3 linked regions of the Daphnia pulex genome follow. The protein of the gene in region 1 purifies or fractionates together with the protein of each later gene. This does not show direct contact. Links are inferred from orthologs where the notes say so. Each region holds a gene or a part of one and is shown in the gene's direction. Other genes may lie near its edges.

The links. The genes of interacting proteins can lie anywhere in the genome.
Region 2: the proteins of cell division cycle protein 27 homolog (region 1) and ubiquitin-conjugating enzyme E2 S-like purify together in Homo sapiens (affinity purification with western blotting; 4 studies listed by BioGRID, with this or other methods). This does not show direct contact. The link is inferred for Daphnia pulex from reciprocal best matches to the Homo sapiens genes CDC27 and UBE2S.
Region 3: the proteins of cell division cycle protein 27 homolog (region 1) and anaphase-promoting complex subunit 7-like purify together in Homo sapiens (affinity purification with western blotting; 23 studies listed by BioGRID and IntAct, with this or other methods). This does not show direct contact. The link is inferred for Daphnia pulex from reciprocal best matches to the Homo sapiens genes CDC27 and ANAPC7.

The regions. Positions count from the first base shown.
Region 1 is NC_060018.1:4,689,338-4,693,678, reverse strand, and holds the start of cell division cycle protein 27 homolog, read left to right. Parts: upstream 1-1,436; 5' UTR 1,437-1,635; coding exon 1,636-1,659; intron 1,660-1,793; coding exon 1,794-1,869; intron 1,870-1,930; coding exon 1,931-2,078; intron 2,079-2,135; coding exon 2,136-2,576; intron 2,577-2,666; coding exon 2,667-2,846; intron 2,847-2,902; coding exon 2,903-3,029; intron 3,030-3,103; coding exon 3,104-3,246; intron 3,247-3,314; coding exon 3,315-3,761; intron 3,762-3,828; coding exon 3,829-4,182; intron 4,183-4,243; coding exon 4,244-4,341. Other genes in the region: MPN domain-containing protein-like, read right to left, coding at 1-1, 78-301, 374-520, 600-749, 819-971. UniProt on the Homo sapiens protein: Component of the anaphase promoting complex/cyclosome (APC/C), a cell cycle-regulated E3 ubiquitin ligase that controls progression through mitosis and the G1 phase of the cell cycle.
Region 2 is NC_060023.1:8,631,750-8,635,329, reverse strand, and holds ubiquitin-conjugating enzyme E2 S-like, read left to right. Parts: upstream 1-1,453; 5' UTR 1,454-1,615; coding exon 1,616-1,624; intron 1,625-1,702; coding exon 1,703-1,847; intron 1,848-1,917; coding exon 1,918-2,108; intron 2,109-2,166; coding exon 2,167-2,310; intron 2,311-2,371; coding exon 2,372-2,518; 3' UTR 2,519-2,826; downstream 2,827-3,580. Other genes in the region: ADP-ribosylation factor-like protein 6-interacting protein 1, read right to left, coding at 198-328, 396-480, 557-660, 723-856, 919-1,052, 1,118-1,147; uncharacterized protein LOC124197881, read left to right, coding at 3,124-3,195, 3,300-3,580. UniProt on the Homo sapiens protein: Accepts ubiquitin from the E1 complex and catalyzes its covalent attachment to other proteins. Catalyzes 'Lys-11'-linked polyubiquitination.
Region 3 is NC_060017.1:4,025,436-4,029,785, forward strand, and holds the start of anaphase-promoting complex subunit 7-like, read left to right. Parts: upstream 1-1,296; 5' UTR 1,297-1,473; coding exon 1,474-1,539; intron 1,540-1,842; coding exon 1,843-2,059; intron 2,060-2,124; coding exon 2,125-2,416; intron 2,417-2,495; coding exon 2,496-2,679; intron 2,680-2,741; coding exon 2,742-2,879; intron 2,880-2,946; coding exon 2,947-3,012; intron 3,013-3,082; coding exon 3,083-3,186; intron 3,187-3,315; coding exon 3,316-3,460; intron 3,461-3,555; coding exon 3,556-3,634; intron 3,635-3,696; coding exon 3,697-3,746; intron 3,747-3,810; coding exon 3,811-3,956; intron 3,957-4,043; coding exon 4,044-4,164; intron 4,165-4,226; coding exon 4,227-4,301; 3' UTR 4,302-4,350. Other genes in the region: myb-like protein K, read left to right, coding at 1-295, 409-1,031. UniProt on the Homo sapiens protein: Component of the anaphase promoting complex/cyclosome (APC/C), a cell cycle-regulated E3 ubiquitin ligase that controls progression through mitosis and the G1 phase of the cell cycle.

The DNA.
Region 1 (4,341 bases):
CCTGGTAACGAAACGACAATAAGAAATAGAAACTAGAAACAAACTCCAAACTTAAAATAATTGTTTTGTCTACTTACTCGATACTTGTCCTGTTTCCTAGCGTTTCGTGCTTTATAATTTGTCGATCACCGACAGTTTGTTTCATACTCATTTGAATTACTGGTTCAGGTTCCAGCAGTACAGGCTCATTAGTGGACAAATTACAATCATCAGGAGTCGAGTTGTCGCTAACCTGTTCTAAACGTCGTTTACGCATCCATTGGTTTTTATATACATCCAAAGGCCTGCCACAATATCGTACCTACATCATTTAAAAATCTGAACTAAATTTACTGAACTTGATAACGAGAATTTAAACATATTTTATGCTTACTGATGACCAACCACAACCATATTTCTGTTCGGGATTAACAATTTTTTTGCAGCGCAAGGCCCACGCCGAGGGTGAACTAAAGACTTCTTGAACTTCAGCAGAAAAAATTTTTCCATCTGCCAGTAAGTCCCCATTAAATTTTTGTCCCTAAATAAATTCACATAGGGAATAGAAGTTTTAAACTTGGAAGATAAGAAATCTAAAAGAAATATCGTATAATGTTTACCATGTACTCTAGTGACATAGCACCTTCTTTTGGTTGAAGGATGTTATCTTCAAGTAACATTTGCAATGTGACTCCTCTACCAGTAAATCCACCAGCAGTTTTGGACTTTTTCTCATTCAGTTCTTCATCTTCATTGCCATCCATGTTATCCTGTAATTTTTGTCATAAAATTGTTATTCATTGGAATTTTAATAGCACAAAGTATTATTAATTAATTACCTCTCCTTCCATTTCAGGATCTAATGTTGCATTGTGGGTTTCAGACATGTTACATTGCTCATTTGTGTGTTCAACACTAACTGATGTGATCTTTTGTTGTTCTTGAGGATCTGCTTGATCACTAATACTTGAGTCTTCTGATGCTTCAATCATGCTTATGCCCTGTATTAAGAACACAGCTTTAATATTGCTAAACAAAAGGTTTACAACTAAAAAGAATTAAATTTGAAAAATATTTGTTTATTTGAAGTAGATTAATTGAAAAAAGGACTATTAGAAGAACTAAAAAACACTTAACTAAAAATTCATATTTTAGAATTACGCGCCTTTTTTATTAATTGTTATTAAAAAAACGTCTGATTTACCTATTCCAGTACCATAATTACAATTACAACCACGTTATTTCGAACAATCTAGGCCAAATGACAGTAGTTAATACATTGCAACACTTAAATTTACCTGAATAAATAACTTGTTGACAATTTCGAAAGCAAATTGTCCAAGTGCGGTTTAATAATAAGATTGATAAAACTGACCGTTGAAATGTCAAAAAATGTCAAAACTGAAGCATCACGATTTGAATCAATTCATCGAATATCGTAGATTGATCGATACTTAGTGAAGGCGATACAGCGATACTCGAAACGGTTTGGTTAAAAAGAGGAAGGGGCAAAAAAAACTTTGTGTTACATTAAAACGTAAGCTCCGACGGCAATTTGGTGGAATTATTTTGACTTAAATTGATTTCCGTCCATGGGAATTCAAACTTGATTGTATATCTTCATAGATTTCATATGTTAACTCATTACTAGTCAACATGTTGGTACAAGAACCTGTCCAGGTTAGTAACATGTTAATCAATGATGTTTAGTGATCTAAAAATTGCATATATTTAGGGTGTACAATGAAGGGGGTTTCTTTGTATGCCAGTTTTTGGTTCATTTTCAATAATGGTTAAATTTTTCTAAAATGCAGGCGGCTATCTGGCATTGTCTTAATCACTACAACTATTGGAATGCTACTTTTCTTGCTGAGAAACTTCAGGATGAAAGTATTATGTGTATACTTAATTTGTAAAGGTTATTTTTCCATAAATCTTATGTTTCTTTCAGTTAATAATGAGGAAAGCTTGTATCTTCTGGCCACTTGCTACTATCGGTCAGGAAAAGCGAATCAAGCAAGAAGTTTACTGCAATCAAAAGGAACTCAGTCGCCACAATGTCAATATCTGTTAGCCAAATGTTGTTTAGATCTGAATAAGTATGTGGTTATTCTCATTGAAAATAATTAAAATCTAAAGAATGTGTTTTTTTTTAGGCTTGCTGAAGCAGAAGGAACATTGATGGGTGGAAATATTTTCAAACAAAAATCTTTGGATGATGTTGTGACTGAATTTGGAGATGCTGCTGCTTTTGCCCTAGTTTTGTTGGGTCAAGTTTACATGCAGACAGAACGAAAGTTCAAAGCTATAGAAGTACTCAACAGAGCTCTTAAGCTTAATCCATTCCTGTGGGCTGCTTTTGAGCTTCTTTGTCGGCTTGGTGAAAAACCAGATGCAGAAGATGTCTTTCAGTTAGAGGGATTGGATAATTTCTCTCATTGTCATGGAACAAACCCAATAGCTTCATTGATCACTGCTCAGATCAATCAATCACATGATGCAACCACTAAAGTACATCCTCATGAACCAATGTCTGTTGACCAAATCTCCACTCCTATACTTCAAGTCCCTGCAGCTGATGTTATAGTAAACACAAGGTAAACATGGCATATTATTTAAAACACAAATTATTTTGAGATTTAATCACCATTTCTTTACACAACTTGTGTATTTTACTATATTTCTAGCACTCCCCTACCATGTGTGCCTCTTATTCATCACAATATACCTAATTTGACACCAGATGATCAAATGATTCCCTCTATACCGTTGACGAGTACCATGGCTCCAACACGTTCCAGAGCACGGTCGTTCCGGCTTCGATCAGTCTTTAAAGCCGGTCAAGCGCTGTCTCCCATGTCCCCCAAGTATAATTTAAGTTTCCATTCACTTGATGACACTTTATTTAATTTACGTAATTTAGTTTTGGCATCATACCTTTGGATATGTCTTCAGCAAGCGATGCTTCTCAAAGTTCGATGGTCTATTTGTGTCCCTCGCTAGCCCCACCGGTCTCTGAAACAAAAGAAGCAAAGATAATGCCTAAACGGGTATGATTTTTTTCCTTTTAAACAAATAATATAGAGTGTTTCATAATCTCTCCAAATGCTTATGCTGTTTTTAGTTGGGTGGTCGTCGTGAAGCAGCTAGCACTGCTCCAAGCGCGCCTTCACGTATGGGAGTTTTCTGCCAATCCGGAAATACAGCTACACCGACATTGTCTTCACCCCCAGCCGCTAACGTGAGGAGAAGTACACGACTTTACAGGTTTCAGTAACATTTGTGTATATATAAATTCGTATATTATTAATTAACGTATTCTATTTTGATCACAGTTCGAACAATTCCGTTAAGGAGAATAACAAAAGTAGCTCTCGTTTTGTTGTGCCCAAGTTGCCACTGAAGCGTAGCAAATCCAAACTTACTAAAGGTGATACCCCGGAAAGCGGATTAGCACCTATTAGCGATTTTCCAGAGCTAGTAGGAAAAATGGATAGAGAGGATGAGAAACAAGCTACCCTACCTACTCATTTAACTTCGGTGCAGACTCCACCATCAAATTTGATTCAAGAGGCAGTCCAAATGCAAAAGCAGTCAGCTGAAGGACTTATGTCTCTTCTTCGGATTGTAGGCAAAGCATTTTCACACCTGACTTCATATGAGTCTCGTCAAGCGATTGACACAATAGAATGGCTCTCCGCACGCCACAAAAGATCAAGCTGGGTCCTCTCTCTTATGGCTAAAGCTTACTTTGAACTGGCAGACTACAAGCAAGCTACTAGGTTAGTTTTACTTTTATCTTGTGTAACAGTTTGACAGGAAATTGACAGATATTTTTTAATTATTAAGGTTGTTTCAAGAAGTGCGTGAAATGGAGCCATATCGCACTGATCTGATGGAGTATTATAGTACTGCTCTCTGGCATCTGCAGCAAGAAGTGTCACTCTCGGCATTAGCACAAGACATGCTGGAACAAGACAAAATGTCAGCTGCGACTTGGTGTTGTGCCGGAAATTGCTTGGATTTGCAGAAAGATCGCGAACAAGCTCTAAAGTTTTTCCAACGAGCAATCCAAGTTGATCCTAAATTTGCTTATGCATACACTCTTTTGGGTCATCAGTATCTTGCCCTCGAAGAAACGGAGAAAGCCATGGATTGCTTTAAAAATGCTGTGAGAGTTGATCCTATTCATTATAACGGATGGTAAACCTTCTTTAACAAAGCAGCATTAATTGATTTGTTCTAACTTTTTGTTTGTGAAAAGGTACGGTATGGGAATAATTTACTACAAACAAGAGCGCTATTCGATGGCAGAATTTTACTTCAAGAAGGCACTGGATATCAATAAAAACAGTCCAGTGC
Region 2 (3,580 bases), on another chromosome or scaffold:
AAGTTCGTTGCTCCAGTTTGAACTTAAGAAAACTAGGAAACAAAACGAACAAAGAGAATTATCTTGATTGAACATTCAAGCACAGAAATCAAAGACTAGTATGCCAAAATACCATTAAAAAAAAGCCCCAATCGTGATTTAAAAACCTAAGATAGTAGAGACACAAACTCTGACTTTGAGACTCATCAAGTTCCCATTTACTTATTTTTAACGGAATCCTTTTCTGTATACGATCGGATGCCATTGGTGACTCGGTGTAGGAATATCGACAGAAATTTTGATAGTACTTCGTTGTGTTTGACGCCAGGATACAATGAGATGAGTGTGACTATAACAATCAAAATGCTGATTACAATTCAGAATACTAAATAGTTTTAATTAATAATATTACATACCAAGAATAAAACAAATGAGCCAATTGTTGACTGTATAACCAATCCAAGCTGAAAGACTGCAGAATGAAAAGAGTGACAAGAAATACTGGAAGATAAAACATAACAACAGGTTACATTTAAAAATATCAAAATCTATGCACTGTATCAATTAAAGAAATCACCATTTTAGGATTTGTCCTTTTGAGATCAATAAAATATGTCATCTGGTTGTAAATTTTATCTTGAGTTTTCACCAGAGTTTCACAGATTATCTCAAACTTTTTCTCTATGGAGAAATGATCAAGTTACCTTTTGATCAAGTAAGAAAATGAGATGAAGAATGTATACCATTCAATGCTGTCCATTGATGAGGTTGTGATATACAGCTACATATTCTAGGAACACTGTAATCAATCAAACTGAGTATCAGAAAAAATAGAGATACGGAGGTGATGATTGGAGGATTCCAATACCAGTACATCCTAATAAACGAACAGAAACTTTATCATGTCACAGGAAAAATTTTTAAAAATATAGAACCTACAGAAATACAGTGCTAATGGTTCCAACAATAGGTGCAGGGTACCAGGATTCAGTCCATATGAGGACAGAATACAAGGCAACGAGAAAAACACGCCAGGTTTCAATACGCCGTTTTAGAGATTTTATCCTCTTTTCCTGAAATTGGGCAGAAAAACATAAACAATGGGTTTAGTGTGCTGCAAACAAACGAAAATAGTCACCTGGTCGGATACAAGAAGGATATCAGGCATTTTGAAACCTATTATATTAGACAGTTTTAAGAAACCAAGAGCCCGAGACGGCACGTATAAAAAAATAGAATAAATATTATGGCATGTGAGAAAGGTTCGTGACTCACACGCAACGTTGACAAGGACCTTGAAAATAGAATGTGAAACTCGCGAGTTGCAAATTACTTGAAATTCAACGCAGATTTTTCACGAATAAAAACCAATTCATGTCGAAAGAAAATGTTTTTATTTTAAAATCATAAAAAAAATAAATAAATTTTTCGAATACGTTTTTTTTAAATTGGTACCCATTTCGGCAACGGTGTGCATCTTGTATTCTTGTTGTCTCTGAACTCTGAGGCCAAAATTTCCTGATATTGTCCAAATTCTAACCGTTCTAACGGTCGTATCAAAATTCTTTTCAAATTTACTCTTCCGTTTTCTGTTTCGTGAACATATCACTTTTCTGCTCTTTTGTTTTTAACCCTCATGGCTTCAGTAAGTTTTTAGAAAATTGAGTTACAGCTTGCAATTTTAGACTTTAAAGTTGCGCCCATTTTGAACCGTTTAATCTAGGTTTCGTTTGAAAACTTGGCACCTCAAGTTAGTCGCCAAATTTGCAAGGAACTTCAACAGCTTATTAGTGATCCACCTGAAGGCATCAAAGTTATTCTCAATGAAGAAGACATATCTGATATTCAAGCCATTATTGATGGACCTGGTAAGAGTAATTCTCATTTAAAAATAAAGCCTAAAATTAAATCATTTTAAATCATTTCCCCCACAATCAGCTGGTACCCCATATGCTAGTGGACATTTTAGAGTAAAATTAGTGCTAGGAAAAGATTTCCCCTCTGGTCCTCCGAAAGGTTTCTTTTTAACCAAAATATTTCATCCCAATGTCTCGCAACAAGGCGAAATTTGTGTCAACACCTTGAAGAAAGATTGGAAGCCTGATCTGGGTATCAAACATATATTTCTGGTGCGACTATTTAAGAGTTCAATTCTATTTCACAACTAACCTAAAATCTCTTTTTTAGACTATCAAATGTTTGCTAATTGTCCCCAATGCAGAGTCGGCTTTGAATGAAGAGGCTGGCAAGCTCTTATTAGAGCATTATGAAGATTACTTTCAAAGAGCAAAAATGATGACTGAAATTCATGCCAAAGTTAGTCAAAATCAGGTAAACAAAACCAAATTTACCAACTTACTGTATTTATTTCATTTTCATTCCTTGATTGAAGTCGAACGCGGATGCCCACTTGAATGAAGACAACAACCCAACGGAAGGCCCTACAGCATCGAAAAAAGCTGCTACTGATCGCACAGTTTTGGCGGATAAGAAAAAGCCAGTGGCCAAGGACAAAAAGAGAACATTGAAGAGATTATGAGCGTCACTGTACATAAATGCCTTTTTCTCTGTTTCTTCTTGCTTCACATCTAGCAACGGTTTGAAAATATCCGTAGTCTTTCTCAGCGATAAACTCCATAATTCTCCATCTCCCATACCATTTGAATTGTTTCGTTCCCGCACTTCTATGCAGTGCGCGTTATTTAACGAGCAAATCTATCCATGTCTAGTTTTTACACTCGCGGAAGGGAGGAGAGTGTTGATTCAGTTTCCTTTTCTTTCTCTTAATTTTATGCTGATTTTTCAGTCGTGTGAGGTCGAAGGAAATATAAAAAAATTTGCTGATAACCCATTCAACTCATATTTTTACCTTTAGTAAGTTATCACAGGTTACATTTAATTATTGATTTGCTGTGAACGTTTAAGATTTTCTTGGAATCGCACTTTAATGGTTCGTTTCCCTGAATCTATTATAAATCCCTTAACCCCAGGTTACTCACTCGGAAGGTAATTTGGCGAGTGCAATTATCTTGGGAGTAACGACCTTGCACCACCTTTAGCAGGACCACACCAACCTCACTCACAACCTCATTTGACCTGCACCTTCGGTTGTGTACAGTTTGAACCAGTCTCTACGTTCCCACTATGCGACTTTTAATCATTTTAATTTTGTTCGTGACATGGACTGTTTGCGAAGACGACACCGAGTTAATCGAGGTAACATTTGAAACGGCCGATTGCTGTTTGGTTCGTAGAAGGTCATTGATCCAAGTTCAAAAACCTCCACTCAAATTGTGACTTTCCCATTTAACATTTTTCAGAAAAATTCAACAGCAGTTCGCGTCAAGAGAACATTCGGCTCGCCAACTCCTGACTCTGAGAAAGTGAAGAAGATGACACACCAAACGACATATTTGTCGAAATTGCTCCGCACAGGAATCAGTTTGGAACGAAAATGGTTCGACGTCATGTCGCAGAAATCCACAGCCGAGGTGGTCGTTTTTCTCGTCCTGGGCATCGTTTCTACTTTCTTCGTTATCCTGACCCCATTGGTGCTCCTGACCAAGCTCCTGGCCCCGCCATTGGTTTTCAGGAGAAAGAA
Region 3 (4,350 bases), on another chromosome or scaffold:
TCTCCTGCCGAAAAGTCGTCCAATGTCAAAAGTCGCCAGTTCAATGCGAACGTGCCGACAGGAGCCACTGGGCTGAGCGGTGGAAGCGCGGCCGGAATGCAAAGTCCTCTTCAGCAATTGGCCCTCCTGCAGCAAATGACCAACTCCAACAACAACCCCATGTCCATAGCCTCCGAACTGGAGGCACAGAAACAGGAAAACTTCCATTTGCAGAACCAAAAACAACAGCAGGGTCTATTAGCTTCGGTTCACATCAAGCAAGACCAGATTGCAACAGCACAGGCAGCCATAACAAGTATGTATGCGTGTGACACACAAATGACAGTCGAATTCCGTTCACGCCATTAAGAACCGTTTGATCAGTTGATTGACCTCTATCTTGTTTTTCCTTCATTCTTGCATTTATAGATCAGAGTAATATGGTGAACGGCCACCAACCTGGTGCTGTGATGCAAGCGGCGCTCAATCCACAGTTGCAGCAACTTCAACAGAACCTGGAAGCGCAAAAGCAGCAGCTCTTGGTCCAGCAGCAGGTACTCCAGCAGCAGGTGAAACCGGAAGCTCAGCAATTTAACAAACAACAAATCCTGATGGCCCAGCTTCTGAACGAGCCTCCGGCTAAGCGTCCTCAGCTTTGGGAACAAATCAAGCAGACGGTGACGAAACAGGAAGCTGCCATGATGGTCAATCCGTTGGCCCAGCAAGGACAGTTGGGCTTCTCTCAGATGAGCCTGGCGCAGCAGCCGAGCAGAAGCCAACAGGAATTGCAACGATACCAGACGTTGATTCAACTCTTGGGTTTGGCCAATCTGGCCTCTTCAAGCAACCCCAACCGCCAAGGATACTACACCGATCCCAATAGATCAATGGTCGCCGGTGGTCTACCTTATTCATCGTTCGGGAGCAATGCGGCAATGAGCGTTCAGGCCGTACAAATGATGCATCAGCAGCAAATGCTCTTGCTTCAACGACAGCAACAAATGATGATGCTTCGACAGCAAATGGCGATGATGAATCCGTTCATGTTCTAACATCGTCCTCCCTTTAATAACTTTATTCTTATATTTATGTTCCCACACTTTGCTCCCTAAATTAAAGCGTCCACTTAATTTTATTTGCATCTCTCTTTCCTGTTTCTCGTCGAGGAAGGAATAAAATAAATATACATTGTTTTACGTTAGTAAAATATTGAATGTTGTTACTGAATGTTGAATTTGATTAGATAATAATTTAATTTTTTAAATAATTTTAACGAAATTAGTAGATTCAGCATTCAGTACGCTGGTGCGCCGGTAGGCCTACGCTGTTTGTTGTCTCTCCGTACCGATAATCCCGCACTTTACGCGTTTCCAACCCTTCTCTGCACTTTACCACTTTATATTGTGATTTTCTTATTGGTGACTGCTGATCAAGTTTGTGTTATAGTTTTTTTCTTCTCTTTGAGTATATATATTACTTTCAGAGTTAGTCATTATGATTCTTCACGAGCAAATTCAAATGTTGTTTGATAACAAACTTTATACAAATATTGTTGCTCTGGTAACTATATAGTTTCTTGTGCTTTCCGTGAATGTTATCGATAGCTAAATGTCACCATTGTATTGCAATGCTATAAATATTAACAAATGTTTTAGTTATATCATTTATATTTTTGTTTGGGCAGTAGTATCTACTCCTACAACTCATATTATTCCATTTTGAATAAGTGCTACTGGTGACTTTTACCTTGAGTATGACAATAGGAATGAGTTCAGTGTAGATTTCATTCTATTACCATAGACTACGAAGTAGTGTAGTCTATGCTAATTACCAATCTAATGAATATCTGGAATTTTTCTACAGGCTCCAATGGTTCTTTCAGCTACTGATAACAATCCTGAGCTTTTACCTCCTGCAAGCATTGCCCAAACAATGGTGTACCTTGCAGATTCATTCCTTGAACAAAAGGAATATGGAAAAGCAGAAGTTTATTACAGAAAAGCCCTAGATCTGAGAAAAACCCTTTCTAAACAAAGGGGGATGGGAAATAGTGCTGCCAAAGAGCTTTCAGCTGAAACAGGTTTGATGTTCTGTTTTAAAGTATAAACAAGTTTTTCCTAAATAAGTTTGAAATAACAATTCTAGAGATTCGCTATCAAATGCACATATGCCACCTTGCTTTAAAACAGTCAGTGCAAGCACTTCTTGTCCTTCAAGGGATCCCAGCCAAACTACGATCAGTTAGGGTTAATATGGCTTTAGGCAAGTTGTATGTTATGAATGGGCTTGAACGCCCAGCCATTTCTGCTTTTAAAGAGGTTATTCGTGAATGTCCTTTGGCCCTAGAAGCTATATTGGCTTTGATTAAACTTGGAGTTAGTTATGTTGAACTTGTTCGTTTAATTTTTAATGGAAACCCATCAAATAACTTAGATTGGTGAGTAGGCTCATATGTATAAAATGTAAATCTTTGTTGAATAATGTTTATTTTCGTTTTTTTCCCTTAAATTCTGAAGGGTTGTTCAGTGGATCAAAGGACAGTGCCATCTTCATTCTTGTGAATATTTGAGTGCTTCTACCATTTTTTGCCATTTGCAAGATGCATCATTGCTCAAAGATGATGTAACAAATTTGGTATCACAAGGAACAACCCTTTTCTTGGCCGGGGATGGAGCGGGCGCCCTTCTACCGCTTCAACGAGTATGTTAAATGATTTGAGAAAAAAAATATCTGGTGCTCATCTCATATTTGCGTTTGTTCAGGCGCATTCCCTCGATCCTTTGTCGCTAAAAGGAATGGATATTTTAGCAGTCATTTTAGCGAATGAAAAGAAAAGTGTTGAACTTGAAGCACTAGCTCTCAAGCTAATCTCTGTTTCTGATTCTAGCTTCGAATCGTGGGTAAAATTATTTGTTTTTTATTTCTAATTACCCTTGTTCCTGTATTAATTTTAATTTATCAAATTAGGTGGCCATGGGATACCATTATCTTTTGTCACGCAAACTAACTCGCGCTCTGTACCTTGCGCATAAAGTAAGATAGCAATGCCGATGTGGTCTTATTACAAATAGTTTTAAAAACCGCGCAAACATATTTCTCATAGGCTTGCACATGTTGCATTCCAACCCCTGGGATAGAGCCCCTAATCCTTAAGGGTACGATTTTACAAGAGCTTAAAAAATGGCCTGAAGCTATCACACATTTTAGGTAAGTCCTGTGATGTTTAAAAAAAAATTATTGAAATATATTTTTTAATTATTGAGATATTTTTTAAATTTTAGTAATATTTAAAAAAAAATTATAGTAATATTAACAACAAGTTTAACATGATAATAGGGAAGGATTACAGACAGCTCCGCACCGATTCGAAATCTATCGTGGTATAGTTCACTGTTATCTAGCGCTTCAGCGAAGTCGAGAAGCCATGAATATAGCTGCTAGCTCTCTTCATCATATTGGTCATACACCTCGCACTTTCACGGTTAGCATTCTTTACAGTGTTTCGTGTTAATCATTCGTTTAAAGCAGATTTTTATCAAATGAGCCATTAATTAAATTGCTGACTGCTCTTTGCAGCTCTACGCATCCGTCCTGTTGAAGGATCCTGTTACAACCGCAAAGGGCAAGGTTTTCCTTGAAAGAGCTTTGAACATGGGTAAAATTAACATGAATAGTTTCCGGTGTAAAAAAAAAATTGTATAACGTTTTCCGTTGTAGATCCTCGATACACTCCAGCTGTATTCCTTTTAATCGACTCGTATGAGCAGGTGAGTAGCTGTACAATCCTACAGAACCACTCACTGAACTACCATTGACTACAATTATTTTCAGGCTGGCCAGAGATCAAAAGCCATTGAACTGCTTACTAAGCAAATAAATCAGCAACCTACAAACAGGTTACATCATATTTTGGGAGACCTATTCATAAAAAATGGAGATATGGATAAAGCATTGGAACAGTACAATTCTGCACTAATGTACGAGAATCTTTATCACTTGATTTTACTTTAACTTGCATATTCACATACTATGCATGTGTTTAATTTTTTTCTTTGTAATTTTAGGCTTGAACCGAATAACGTAAAAACCATTGAGGCCATCAATAGGCTTGAAAACGCATTGGTAGCTAAACTAGAAAATCATCTGGATTTGGAAGCTGATGATCTTCCTGATTCTGATGAAGAGGTAAATTCAATTTAAAGTGAAAAACAAAATATATGCATATGTTAAAAGCTATCGTTTTCAAGCCAACCATTGAAGAAGTCGACATCGATCCTATGGGTGGAATGTGGGCCGACATGAACTTGGATCAATTTCGGTAGTTTCATGATTTATTTGTACAATCACTCAAAAATACATTTTCTACAAAAA